Linked DNA regions of Saccharomyces cerevisiae S288C. The protein of the gene in region 2 interacts with the protein of the main gene of each other region in a biochemical or structural test. Each region holds a gene or a part of one and is shown on either strand. Other genes may lie near its edges.

The links.
Region 1: of the proteins of VHS1 (region 2) and SIP5, one has a biochemical effect on the other in vitro, tested with the Saccharomyces cerevisiae proteins (2 studies listed by BioGRID).
Region 3: of the proteins of VHS1 (region 2) and SOL2, one has a biochemical effect on the other in vitro, tested with the Saccharomyces cerevisiae proteins (2 studies listed by BioGRID).

The regions. Positions count from the first base shown.
Region 1 is NC_001145.3:546,082-550,094, forward strand, and holds SIP5 (Sip5p), read left to right. Parts: upstream 1-1,632; coding exon 1,633-3,102; downstream 3,103-4,013. Other genes in the region: serine/threonine protein kinase RIM11, read left to right, coding at 44-1,156; YMR141C (uncharacterized protein), read right to left, coding at 3,655-3,963. UniProt on the Saccharomyces cerevisiae protein: May negatively regulate the SNF1 kinase by promoting the interaction of the REG1/GLC7 phosphatase complex with the kinase. Deletion of SIP5 promotes resistance to artemisinin, which is probably an indirect effect of an action on the electron transport chain.
Region 2 is NC_001136.10:954,009-960,340, forward strand, and holds VHS1 (putative serine/threonine protein kinase VHS1), read left to right. Parts: upstream 1-2,004; coding exon 2,005-3,390; downstream 3,391-6,332. Other genes in the region: TRAPP subunit TRS23, read left to right, coding at 280-939; YDR246W-A (uncharacterized protein), read left to right, coding at 1,125-1,325; YDR248C (gluconokinase), read right to left, coding at 3,750-4,331; YDR249C (uncharacterized protein), read right to left, coding at 4,673-5,794. UniProt on the Saccharomyces cerevisiae protein: Probable serine/threonine protein kinase involved in the G1-S transition.
Region 3 is NC_001135.5:245,396-248,821, forward strand, and holds SOL2 (Sol2p), read left to right. Parts: upstream 1-1,567; coding exon 1,568-2,515; downstream 2,516-3,426. Other genes in the region: mitogen-activated protein kinase kinase kinase SSK22, read right to left, coding at 1-1,188; cystinosin-like protein ERS1, read right to left, coding at 2,638-3,420. UniProt on the Saccharomyces cerevisiae protein: May be involved in regulation of tRNA subcellular distribution.

The DNA.
Region 1 (4,013 bases), on a different chromosome or scaffold from region 2:
CAACACGGCAACACTAATCACGCAACGCTAGAACTCGCGCAGGATGAATATTCAAAGCAATAATTCTCCGAATCTCAGTAATAACATAGTGTCAAAACAGGTTTACTACGCCCATCCTCCACCTACGATAGACCCGAATGATCCGGTGCAGATATCTTTCCCTACCACCGAAGTAGTTGGGCATGGTTCGTTTGGTGTGGTATTTGCCACTGTTATTCAAGAAACTAATGAAAAAGTTGCTATTAAGAAAGTCCTGCAAGATAAACGATTCAAGAACAGAGAGCTGGAAATAATGAAAATGCTGAGTCACATAAATATAATAGATCTGAAGTACTTTTTCTATGAAAGGGACTCCCAAGATGAGATTTATTTAAATTTGATACTAGAATACATGCCACAATCTTTGTACCAGAGGTTACGTCATTTCGTCCATCAACGTACGCCGATGTCAAGATTGGAAATAAAGTACTACATGTTTCAATTGTTCAAGTCATTGAATTACCTCCATCATTTCGCGAACGTCTGTCATAGAGACATTAAGCCTCAAAATTTATTAGTAGATCCTGAGACCTGGTCCTTAAAACTGTGCGATTTCGGCAGTGCAAAGCAATTGAAACCTACTGAACCTAACGTTTCCTATATTTGTTCACGGTACTATAGAGCACCAGAGCTAATCTTCGGCGCAACAAATTATACCAACCAAATCGACATATGGTCCTCTGGCTGCGTAATGGCGGAACTGCTATTGGGCCAACCAATGTTCCCTGGAGAAAGTGGTATTGATCAACTAGTGGAAATCATTAAAATCTTAGGTACTCCATCAAAGCAAGAAATTTGCTCTATGAATCCCAATTATATGGAGCATAAGTTCCCGCAAATTAAACCAATACCATTGTCACGTGTTTTCAAGAAAGAAGATGATCAAACTGTGGAATTTCTAGCTGACGTTTTGAAATATGATCCACTAGAAAGATTTAATGCTCTACAATGCCTGTGTAGTCCATATTTTGATGAACTAAAACTTGATGACGGTAAAATAAATCAAATAACAACTGATTTAAAATTGCTAGAGTTCGATGAAAATGTCGAATTGGGCCATCTATCTCCCGATGAACTATCATCTGTAAAAAAAAAGCTATATCCGAAGTCTAAGTAATGATAGCACCGGAGGGAGCCCAGGCAAGAATAATGGGAGAAGGAAGGAACATATATACGTATGTCTTTTTTTAGTACTATTATTACTGTTATTATTATGAGTATTGTTTTTGTATTACCATCATATTCTTATCATTATTAGTAGTAACAGTATTATGTTATCATTACTGTTATAATGAATACAAATTATGAAAAAAATAAGGTAAAGCCAAAATAAATTGTAACTTTTTTATGCCATTTCACTTCGAATTATGTATAAAAGCCGTATTCTTTGCCAGTACGAAACTATTTTAATGACACCTTTACTTTAACCGGGTAACAACTTCCTTAAATGGGTCGACAAGGTTTTTAGAGTATAAAGGGGCAAGTGAAGGTTCATCATCGAGCTGATGTAGTGGGTGTTTTAGTAAACGAAGAAGCACCTTAGAACCAAATAATCTAGCTAGTATAAACCGAACCCAGAGTAGCAAACAAACCATGGGTAATGTTCCAGGGAAAATAGACCAGGAAGATAGTTTTAATGATGTCAGGCCAGATTCCTCATATAATACTACATCATCGAATTCTGTCATCAAACAATATGATGAAGAAGCCTCTTCAAGGGTGAGAACGAGACGCACGACGTCTTTGGTCAATAATATTTTAAATGGGAATAATGCTCGTACAAAAACTGGTTCTCATCTATCCAGCACTAGTAGAAGAAAGACGTCACGGGAAAAAGAGCTTGCTAAAGAGGCACATGCTAAACAATTGGTTGTGAGGTGTAGCGAAACTGTAGATGGGGGGTTTTTGGCCCCATTTGGCTGTTATTCTTTTGAAAAGTTGGACTATGATGCTACTGTCGTTAAAAATTTAATAATCAAAAGAAAGTTAGCGCCGTTTTACACTCCTTTGCAGGATTTTGATGAAAGTTGGACTAGAGATGAGTTGATAAAAATTGTTGACGGATTGCCCTTGCATGACACGTTCGATGAAAATTTGGAAGAATTCGAAGACGTACCGATAGGCAATTTAAGGAAGTCAACATTTAATGAATTAATAGACAAATCTTTATCCAAGAAGGAACAGAGAAGAATGCACGCAAAGATTTTTAGAGCAAGATTGTATAAGAAAAGAATTTTATGGCAAGAAAATGAAAATGAGACGTTTTTGGAGAGGAAATTGGAAATGAAAAGAATTGGCAGCAAGTCCAGCAATGTTGAAGATAATACCAGTAGCCAGCCAAGGAAAAATTACCATTTACCAAGTGACGATTTGAAGTATACTCTTTACAAAAATGGGTCGGAATGCCCTATTTGTTTTTTATACTTTCCAGGGCCTTTCAACTATTCCAAATGTTGTCAACAGCCTATTTGTACCGAGTGTTTTGTACAGATTAAGAGAGCTGATCCTCACTTCCCTCATGACGAAGTAGACCCAACTGAACCACAAACTAATGACAGTGAAAAGGACCCAAATCTTCTTACCTCTGAGCCAGCAAATTGCCCCTACTGTGCAACTGCTAGTTTTAGCATCACTTATCAACCACCCACAAATCGTGAAACTGGTATAGGGGGTATGCCAGCCGACTCATACGTGTATAAGGACGCCGCCATATCAAGAGCTGATGGCGGTCAGCCAAACATATCAGCCATTACTTCGGATACCATTCGTCCTGATTGGGAGATTAAATTGAACAAAGAAAGGGCAAGGTTGATGAGGAGATCCGCGAATGCCACCGCTATACATATAAGTAATAGGTTGATCGATCCAAGCCATAGCAGAAGGAGAAATACAAGTCACAGTATAACCCCTATTCATGATGAAAGTACGTCAGCTTCAAGATCTCCTGAACCGACAATAAACGAACTTGAAGATCAAATGGTTAGAGAGGCTATTAGGTTAAGCCTTGAAGATCAGGACAACCGAAAAAAATCAAAGAATAGAAACACCTCTTTGAGACCATAGCATCACAGTTTGACATTTTTTACAATATTAAAAAAATCCTTTTTCAAACGTTCCAGAAGTGCACTATTTTTCTTTTGTTCCATCTATATCTAACGGAGCGTCACCAACCTGACCTTCCTTTTGGCTTTAAACAAAATGATCCGGAAATATCGTCACATTTATTGTGAAGAGAGAGAAGTTTTACAGTTAATTGTATTGCAAGCTCTTCCCGCTCTAGAAAGTTTTTGTTTTGTTCGTCCTCAAGAATTGAGAGTTCAAGTATTTCACCTCAAATTTGCATTTGAATTTTAGTAGTAACTAATATAAGATTCCCATCCCGCATCCGCCACTGAGCAATGTCATTCTCTCTTTTCTCGCCTTTTTATGGATAGAAGCACATAGACGATGGATATCAGAGAAGCGTTCACATAATTAAGCAGTTAGTTCCAAATATGCGTACAGTCTTTATAGATGAGAGACTGTTAAAAACGACCTTCCGTTCGACCACTCAAACTGTAGTAGGAGTTCTTTTCTCTATTTATATGCTTGCAATGTTCGCAGAAAAAGCACCATCTACCTCACCTCCAGCTTAGCCAATTTTTGGTTGGTAAACCGTTCCAGAAATTTTTCAGTTTTGGGCGATACCATCAATGTGTCATTACAGAATATTCTTGTTGGCATTTTTTCAGGTCTAAAGAAATTTCGATTTGAGGTAATTGCTAGTGCTGAAAGGAAGAAACACAGAAATCTGACTGAACAATGACTTTTTGGCGTGTTCGAAGAAATCAAATGCATTATATATAAACGTACGCATAGGTATATATTCAAACTCACATATATAAAATCTTCTTTTCTCTTCTCACTTGTGTCAGTGCGTGACATCAGTATGCGCTTTGGATGTTTATCTTATCTGAGCGTCACAATTCAGTGAT
Region 2 (6,332 bases):
AAGCATTTACAAGCTTTTATTTTTCTTTTTAATTTCCACTACTGGTTCTGCTTTAAAATGTTGTTTTATAATTTATGTACATTTAGGCCTATAGAAGATTCTTTCAATAATATGCTACACATTCTTTTATTTTTCCATCATATGTTGGAGTTTATGCCTCCTCGGCAGGAGTTGGGCGGTGCGAAGAGAAGAAAAAGAGTGAAACTAAAAAAAGGAATCTGCCTTTGCATAAGTTCAAAAGTGCAATTTTAGTGTTGGATTTAAACGGGAAAAATTGAAATGGCCATCGAAACAATACTTGTAATAAACAAATCAGGCGGACTAATCTATCAGCGGAATTTTACCAACGACGAACAGAAATTGAACAGCAATGAATACTTAATTCTTGCTAGTACACTGCACGGTGTATTCGCCATCGCGAGCCAGCTGACTCCGAAGGCATTACAGCTAACTCAACAAACGAACATCGAAAATACCATCCCATATATACCTTACGTGGGCATGTCCAGCAATAGGAGCGATACAAGAAATGGAGGTGGCAATAACAACAAACACACTAATAATGAAAAACTGGGCAGTTTTAAAGGAGATGATTTTTTCAAAGAACCATTTACGAACTGGAACAAGAGCGGATTGAGACAACTATGCACGGATCAGTTCACGATGTTCATATATCAGACCCTAACCGGCCTGAAGTTTGTCGCTATCAGCTCCAGCGTCATGCCCCAGAGACAGCCAACTATAGCCACCACCGACAAGCCTGACCGACCCAAGAGTACATCCAATTTGGCCATCCAAATAGCCGACAACTTCCTAAGGAAGGTTTACTGTTTGTATAGTGACTACGTCATGAAAGACCCATCTTACTCAATGGAAATGCCTATAAGATCTAACCTGTTCGACGAAAAAGTCAAAAAAATGGTAGAAAACCTACAATAGACGCACGCGCCATCGGAAGATAAACGCATTCACACCAAGAAAATAAATACTACGTACTTCTAGAACTAAGAAGAAGTTGCCGCTCTCCGTCTCCTCCTTCATAAATAGGGATAGCTTTTACTACTACGTACGAAAAAAGACCACACTGCGACGGATCCTCTGCATCCCAACACCAGCGATAGAAAATGCGCCGCCTATATCGTCATCTTGCTTCCTTTTTCTTACTCCCTTCCTGCCCTGGAAACACCATACAATCCATCACATCATATCCTGCCAATGCACTATTACGCAGCTTTCGGCACGTGAGTACGGAAACACCAGTTCGGAACCGGGTACACAATAGGGATAGTCAAAGCTGTCCATTTTTTCCGCTGATGGATGACTGATACCAAAGTGTAACCCAAAAGGGGTAGTCGATCCTACTTTTACCAGTTACGTTAAAGGGACCAAAACGTGGGGAAGGGATGCCGCCACCACCACCGCCACTACCCCCGCCAACATGGCCTAACTTAGCAGTCCTCGCTTGTGTATCTAGGTCCGCGTCCGCTAATTCGCGCGGCTTGCCACTTAACCCCGTCCAGTTAATTTGCCAAGCAGCGGCCGCACGTTGGAACGTTTTCGCCGATTTATTTATTATTATTTATACATGTTGACGTTGGTGCCCTTTTGTTTATACTGGAGCCTAAAACGTACCTCAATTAAATTTAGTGTGCCATATTATAGTGCTATTAAACCTTTATTTTTATTTTTAATTTTAAAACTGCTTTGGTTCTCTCCCTCCCTTACCGTTGCCACCTTAAGACTCACTGATATTTATTCATACTTACAAGTGCTATAAGAAAAGACTTGATTTATTAGCTTTACAGCGTTTTTACATTTGTGTCACTGCTATTATATTTTTGTTTACCTCTTTTTGTTGCTGGTGTTGGCGCTACCATTGTTTTTTTGTTTTATGAGTTACGTTTACAAAAGTTCTTAACATTTACTGTACGATAATATACTAAGGTGAAATACTAAAGTAAAATAAAATAAGAGAAAGAAAAAAAAAAAAAAAAGAAAAAAGTAATGATGATGTTCCATAATTGCAGAATTAATAACTACTTAATAACTTCTCAAATTGGCGAAGGCGCGTACGGTCTGGTTTACCGTGCCTTAGATATTCGTACCGATAGACAATACGCTATCAAAGCGGTTGTTCAAAGTTACGGTGTTAGCAAGGAGGCTGATATGGGCAATGATAAAATACACAAAAATAGCGTGAAATTGCAAAAGAAGCTCGCTAAACTGTTCAAGGAATCGAAAAACGTTGTCAGGGTGCCCTCTATAGATCTAGAATCAATTGAGAATATGTCAGAAGAAGATTTTAAAAAGCTGCCCCATTATAAAGAGATTTCGCTACACCTAAGAGTCCACCATCATAAGAACATTGTCACCATACATGAGGTGCTACAATCTGCAGTCTGCACGTTCATTGTCATGGATTATTACCCAACAGACCTATTCACGTCTATTGTAGATAACAGACATTTTGTCACTAATGGACTGCTAGTAAAAAAGGTTTTTCTACAGATCTGTTCTGCTCTTAATTATTGCCATGAGCACGGCATCTACCACTGTGACATCAAGCCTGAAAACTTGCTACTGGATACAGAAGATAACGTTTTCCTATGCGATTTTGGTCTATCCACTACTTCCACATATATAAAGCCAAATGTTTGCATTGGTAGCTCGTATTATATGCCCCCTGAAAGAATCTCATTTGATGGGAGAGTTTCCAGCTCTAAAAGTGGGGGACATAAGTTGGGTAAGGTTTGTCCCTCATGTAATGGCGATTTGTGGTCATTAGGTATCATCCTTATCAATTTGACATGCATCAGAAATCCCTGGCTGAAGGCTGACAAAACCGAGGATAATACCTACTATTATTTCACTAAGGATCCCAATATACTAAAGCAAATCCTACCGCTTTCCGATGACTTTTACTCATTATTATCTAAGATTTTACAAGTGAATCCGAAGAATAGAATGAGCTTGCAAGAGTTGATGAAAGAAGTTAGTTCTATTACAAGCTTCACCAATGAAGGCCCGTTATCAAAAGTGCCGCCTCTTTCCAAGTCTGTTTATGAAAAGTTCGTTAGCCCCGTCGATAACACGAATGAGAATTTGTCTCCAAAATCCTACGTGTACATGCACGATAGTAAAGCTGCCAAGAATTTATCTTATACATCTTCAAGTGAGGAAGAAGATGGAATCAAAGAAGGGATAGACGATGATAATGGCAGTCGCAGTGGCAGTTTCGGAACGCTAGACACAGACACTGGATTGCATTCTTCGTTCACAAGCACTTCTTGCGAGTCCGATAACGAATGTTCTAAGATTTCCAACAAATTTTCCTTGTTCGAAAAAAAATTCAACGAACTTCGCATGAGTTCCTCTTCTTTAACTAACTAACCCCCTCCTTTTTGGCACAAAAGTGTACTACACATCTGTTTTAAGCCCACAATTGATAGACCTTCTCTTGATGATCATCTGTTTTCCCGAAAATATTACTTGCCAAAGCAAGTTGTAGTTATATTCACACTTCCGTTATGACCCCCTCATCCGTTTAATGTTATTTGTTTTTATGGTATTCCCTTTATTCATTTTTTTTCTTGCTTTTTTTTGTTGATCCCTGTAACCCCTTTTTTTTTTTTGGAAGTTGCTATTATTATTCATTCACATTTGTTCTGTCTTTGTTAATTTTCCAGGTCACCGTATTTAATTTCTATATAACTGTTTCTAATATTTACTTCGTTTTATCCAAGCGTTATTTACTCAATATTCAAAACTTTACTTTTTACCACCTGTATAACATCTTTTTCAATTTGATAAAACGTTTTGAAATCTAAGGGAACAATGTCACAGTCAGTTTCGTCGTTGATGTCTGGTAACTCCAGATCCCTGAATTGAGACTCCATCATATCAGCTTTCATGAAATGACCCTTCCTTGTTTTGAGCCTTTTCAGAACTTCTATTTTACTTGCATACAAAAAGATAAAATGGAACTCCGATTCAGGGCATGTGTGCCTAATCAAATCTCTGTATTTCTTCTTCAAGCTCGAGCAAGCAACAATTGACAAATGCTCCTTAGTGCTTGCTGCAGCTTTTGTAGATTCTACGGCAACTTTTTTCAACCAGTCCCAACGGTCGTCGTCATTTAATGGAATCCCTCTTGTCATCTTTTCTACGTTGGCAGGCGGGTGTAAATCATCACCTTCGATGAATTTCAAATCCGGGTATATATCTTTAAATTCATGGATTAGTTCACCTGCAATGGTTGATTTTCCTGTACCTGCAGTACCTGCCAATACAATAACCTTAAATTTCCCCATAGTTTTGTGTTTCTCTGTCATCAACTGCGTTGTCCATCCATACGCTTACTGAGACACTATGAAAGCCTGTTTAGTCTTCGGAAAGCTATTTATTGCTTGCTACTTGAAAACCTTTTGATTATCGATATTTTTTAACGGGACCTTATATAATTATTGCTTGGAAACTAACGGTGTTATAATTTTTGACAAACTAATTAGCGACGTAATGAAAGCAGAAAAACCGCAAGAATATGAGAAAGGGAAAATATCAAAGAAAACAAAATATATTCCTTATATAACACCATCTTTTGTACATAAATGAATTGGCAAGCACATATTGTGCATGCATGCAAGGGGCAGAATCTTAATACTAAGTAATTTAATTATGCAAACATAACCCCGTATTGAGGCCTTCCGCCGCATTTAACGACCAAATCTATGAGTTTTAAATCAGACACCCGCCTTAACAGGTCCCATATAGTGCTATCAGATAAAAGTTCGTTTTCTGTCAATGATGGATTGTAATAATATTTCAGGATAAATTTCTCTATGAGCTGTAATCTTGATCTATTCTGCAAAAAAAACTCAAAGTTCAGACTCCCTAGTGAATCAGCATACGTGAAATATAATAAAAATATTACAGTCGTAAGGGGTTCAATAGACGCTAGTTTTTGCACTGTAGATCCAGAGACGTATAGGATTAAATCTATTGATTCAAATAGAGAAACAAAGGTAAACTTAGGGCTTAGGTCAGTTCCTTGCATATCAATACCTTGAAAAAACCATTCTATAAAAGGGGATATCACATCATATGGATTCTTCAAAGTAAAATGATTACCTAGAGACTTCACACATTCCCTACGTGTTAAAAAAATATGCATATTGTTGTAAAAGTTTTTAGGGAAGTCTTCTTTCGATGTATCTTCAGTGTTCATTGAACACAAGTCTAGCTCTTTAGATGTATCAAAATCGCCATTCTGCATATCTTGATAGTGCTTTCTGGGAAGAAAATGAGAAATATTTTTCAACAGGATAGGATGATGATCTAGTAGTAGTCTAAAAAAAGTTTCATGCTCAAATAATGTAGGGATCACAATATTTCTTGAATAAGCTTTTATATTACTTACGCCAAACTCCAGGGGATCGAAAAGATATTTTTCCCACATGATCTTCGATAATAATGAAAAAGATGGCTTCAAGCAACTATAGAAGAACCTGTTCAAGGTGACCATCGACGGTTCACCCTTTGTGAAAACGAAAATATGTTGAATAATCTCTACAGGTAAATCTTGCAAAGTTAGCTTTTGATGATGCCTAAGTTTCTTCGCAGGAAGCCTGATAGTCCTTTGATCTTCCGATATTGGCCTCTTGGATGAAACCCGGGTCTCTAAGAGATGCACATGGTGCTGCAAGTTTATCGAAGACGATGCATACCGATGCAAAGGAAGTGCATGTTTCTTTCTCTTATCATGACGGCTAGAATATCCTGTCAAAATATAACCCATGGCCACTTATTCTAAAAATACACTGCGTGAAAAAAGCACTGCTTACTTTAACAACATTAGTCCTCTTTAAATATATTTCATTACTCATCGCAAACTGAACAATTCTTGATGCTTAATTCTTACTAGCTGCAAAAAAGACAAGATGAAACGCGGTGTATGGTTGGACGATATAGTCTTATCCTAAATACACACAACATATATTGCGTAATAAAGAGATCTTCCTATCTATAGCACAATTTGAAGTTGAAAAGGCGTATCTAAAATGCTAATACTAAACAAGGCATCATGTTTTTGTCCCATTCACGTAGCACTGGCGATTTGCTTCCATATTCTTCTGTGTACAATAATAGCTTGGGTGGCTTTTTTCACAATGGGCTCTACGCGAAATTGTCGCAGCCCCCTGTTGGCCGTGCTGTGGGCCATTCTCGAGACTAGAATGAAACAGAAATCTACAAACATGAAAAGGTAGAGTAAAGTCGAGTAAGTAGTAGAAAAGAAAAGTGATATTGGCATACACGATAGCGAAGTTGTTCATATC
Region 3 (3,426 bases), on a different chromosome or scaffold from region 2:
ATAGACGGGGAACGCCAGTAGTGATCTTAACCTTTCATAAGGATATTTTATGTTCATCTTTGTCAAAGTTTCTCTGTAGACTATAAAATGTAGTTTCAGTTTGAACATCCAAGGTGATAGCGGATAGAAAATTTTTTTTTGGAATATAGACTCGATGTTCTTTTCCTTCATCAATTGTTCTGCAAGAATCTTCATTTTGCAGTTCCATTGGGGCACACCATCAAAATCCTCTTGGCAATTATCCGAACTACTTATCGGTGAGAAACGGTTTATCCAGTCGTCCAACTCTTGCCTCCTCAACGTTAAGTTCGTTTTAAAGTTCAGCCAAGAATTCATTACGTCTATTCTAGCGGTAAATTCTGCAGTATTGGTGATTGGTTTATCCTTATACATTTTTTTCAAGTTAGGCCAATAAGAGACAACGCTGTGATATCTGTTCATGAGGTCTTGTAAGATGGCCTCCAGTGCATCCAGGCTCAATATCTTGCCCTGTGGAATTTGAAACTTCATTATCTCTTCAAAAACGGAATCTGAACTATCTCTTAAATATGTAAGCGACTGTTCCATCTCTTGCATGGTCCTCCCATTCAGCCATGCCTTCAATTCGAGCCATATCTCATCTGAGAGCTCCTTATTTAACCCTGGTTTCTTGACTTGGTTAGCAATCCTCGTCTTTTCACCTTTAACAATATCTCCCTTCAGCACTCTGGCCAGCATTGACTGCCATTTGAACCGTTCGGTCGCAATTTCATTCCAAGCTAGTTCATCACTGTCTGACCTCATTTTCCTGCAATAAGGTGTAGTGGAGAAAAACTTGACACCTGAGTGCAGGTCTTCATCAATTCTGTCGCCATTAGACAACCGAATAATTTCGTCATCACCGTCGTCTTCCTCGTAGCGGTTAGTGAGTTTTATGCCCCTCGTGTAGTAGTCATCTAAAGCGGTCTTTTTTAGCTTTTTCAAGTATAGCGATTCATTGAAAACGTATCGGTCCTTAAAAGTCAGCTGACTGGGGCCGTCGCTTATTGTTTCCGAGCCACCCAATGCTTTCAAATCAGATCTTGATAGTTTATGGCTGGAATGACTTGATAATCTCTTCACGAGCTTACTTGAGATGGTATGAGGAGCCAGAACTCTCCCGCCTTCAGCCGCTTTTTGTTGCTGTGTATTCAGTATATCCATCATCATTTTCACCTACAAGGAACTACCTTTTATAGCCACCCTAAGTAAAACAACATTAGCTTAGCATCCTCAATTCTTATCGTATGTTGTTGCTGCTATTTTTATCCTATTGTTCCTGGCATCGCTTTTTTACATAAGGTACCAAGGCAAGAGAAAAGACCCGCGAAATTTTCAATTCGAGACATAGGGTTAATACGAAATATGTTAAGGTCTAGTTTCCAAAAAATGAAGAAAATGTGATTAGACATCCTGGGGAAATTAGGTTTAAATAGGGCGGGCGCTACAGGGGTTTTCCTAACAAATTTCAATGATAATAGTGGCATCATCATCGTCATATCCAGTGTAGGTATGGACTAGAACAGAAAGCAATTTGCAGCAAGACAATATGACTACGACGGTACCCAAGATATTCGCGTTTCACGAGTTTTCAGACGTGGCAGAGGCCGTAGCTGACCATGTAGTCCACGCGCAAGACGGTGCATTGGCTCCAAAGAACGAGAGGAAACACTCTGTTCCCAACATCAGCATGAATGCACTGGATATGACGAGAGAGGCCTCTTGCAAAAGCACAGCATCTGCCGCGGAAGGGAAAAGTGGTAGCAGTGGTAGTGGCAGTGGTAGCAGTAAGCCCAAAAAGGAGAAACGGTTCAAGATTGCTCTCTCCGGTGGGTCATTGATCGAAGTGCTACACGAAGGTCTGCTAAAACGAGACGATGTACGGTGGGGAGACTGGGACATTTACTTTGCAGACGAGAGACTTGTACCCTTCAGCTCGAATGAAAGCAATTATGGATGCGCCAAAAGGAAGATTTTGGACCTGATAGACACGGCGAAGTATGGAACTCCGAAGGTGTACCACATTGACGAGTCATTGATTGACGACCCGCAAGAATGCGCTGATAACTATGAAAAGGTGCTAATCCGCGGGTTTGCCGGTAGAGATTCCGTCAAACTTCCGATGTTCGACTTGTTCCTGCTTGGTTGTGCCCCCGATGGTCATATCGCATCACTCTTCCCTAACTTCCAGGACAATCTACGTGAGAAACTTGCATGGGTGGTGCCCGTGGAGAACGCTCCTAGTGGGCCCTCGACCAGAATTTCGCTGACTATACCTGTAATCTGCCATTCTCACAGGGTTACTTTCGTTGTCGAAGGTGCAACCAAGGCGCCCATCATCAAGACCATTATGGAAAGGCCTGAAAAGGGCCTACCTAGCAGTATTGTCAACGAAGGTGCTGCTGGTCGTGTATCATGGTTTGTTGACGACGATGCTCTTACGGACGTCCTCGTCACCAAAAAAAAGTATAAATTCCACCAAGGTTTGTCTATTTAAACCATGCATGTGTGTACATACATACATACACACATACATACATACATACATATATTTATGTATATTTATGTATATATATATATATATATATATGCGTAATTATGCAGATTTCTCCTTGTGTGCTACAGCGGGTACTCTGACGCCAGATCATGGCCTCGAGATCGATATACAAACCACTGCATGATAAAGATGAAGTTGAATATTAAAGTTACCATTGACAGTCCCACTTTTCCAAAATTTGTCACGAACGTATCCAGACTGAAACCTTGATCGTTAGACAACTGCCAAATCAATTGGAGCAGCGAGGCGATACCGCCAGTGACATCTAGAAACACACCCTGAATGGGGAAACAATCCATAGATTTTCTTGTCGAGTTATGCGTCACTTGTGGGATGTACTTGATTAGTGACATCGATATTTTGAGTAAAAACAAATTGTTGCAATACGCCAGAGTTCTTGAGTTATGCCAATCGTACCAGTAGTTGGAGTACATAAATTGTACGGTTAGCAGTGAAAAAATGGCCAGTGATGCGAGTAAAATCCTTAGGTACCATGGATTCATCTTGCGGTGACCTTTACCTGGAAATCGCCAGATTCTCGCTCCAGCTACCACCTGGGTCAATAAGACAACATTCATCAAGCACCCATGCAGGCAATACCAGAAATCAAATTGCGTCAACTTGGGCCTGCCCAAGTCAGACTCATCACCCGTCATTTTCCAGCAGTACAATTGCAAAAATATGGATATGACCAGGTAAGAGTAACCTGCCGTATTTAACATGACAAAATCCATCGATATCGCGCTCGCTGACTTATGGCGCCAATTGGTGATTATCGGTGGATACATCGATATCGACCATGACGTAACATACACGATACCTAGTATATCGTCTAACGACACCATTTTGCT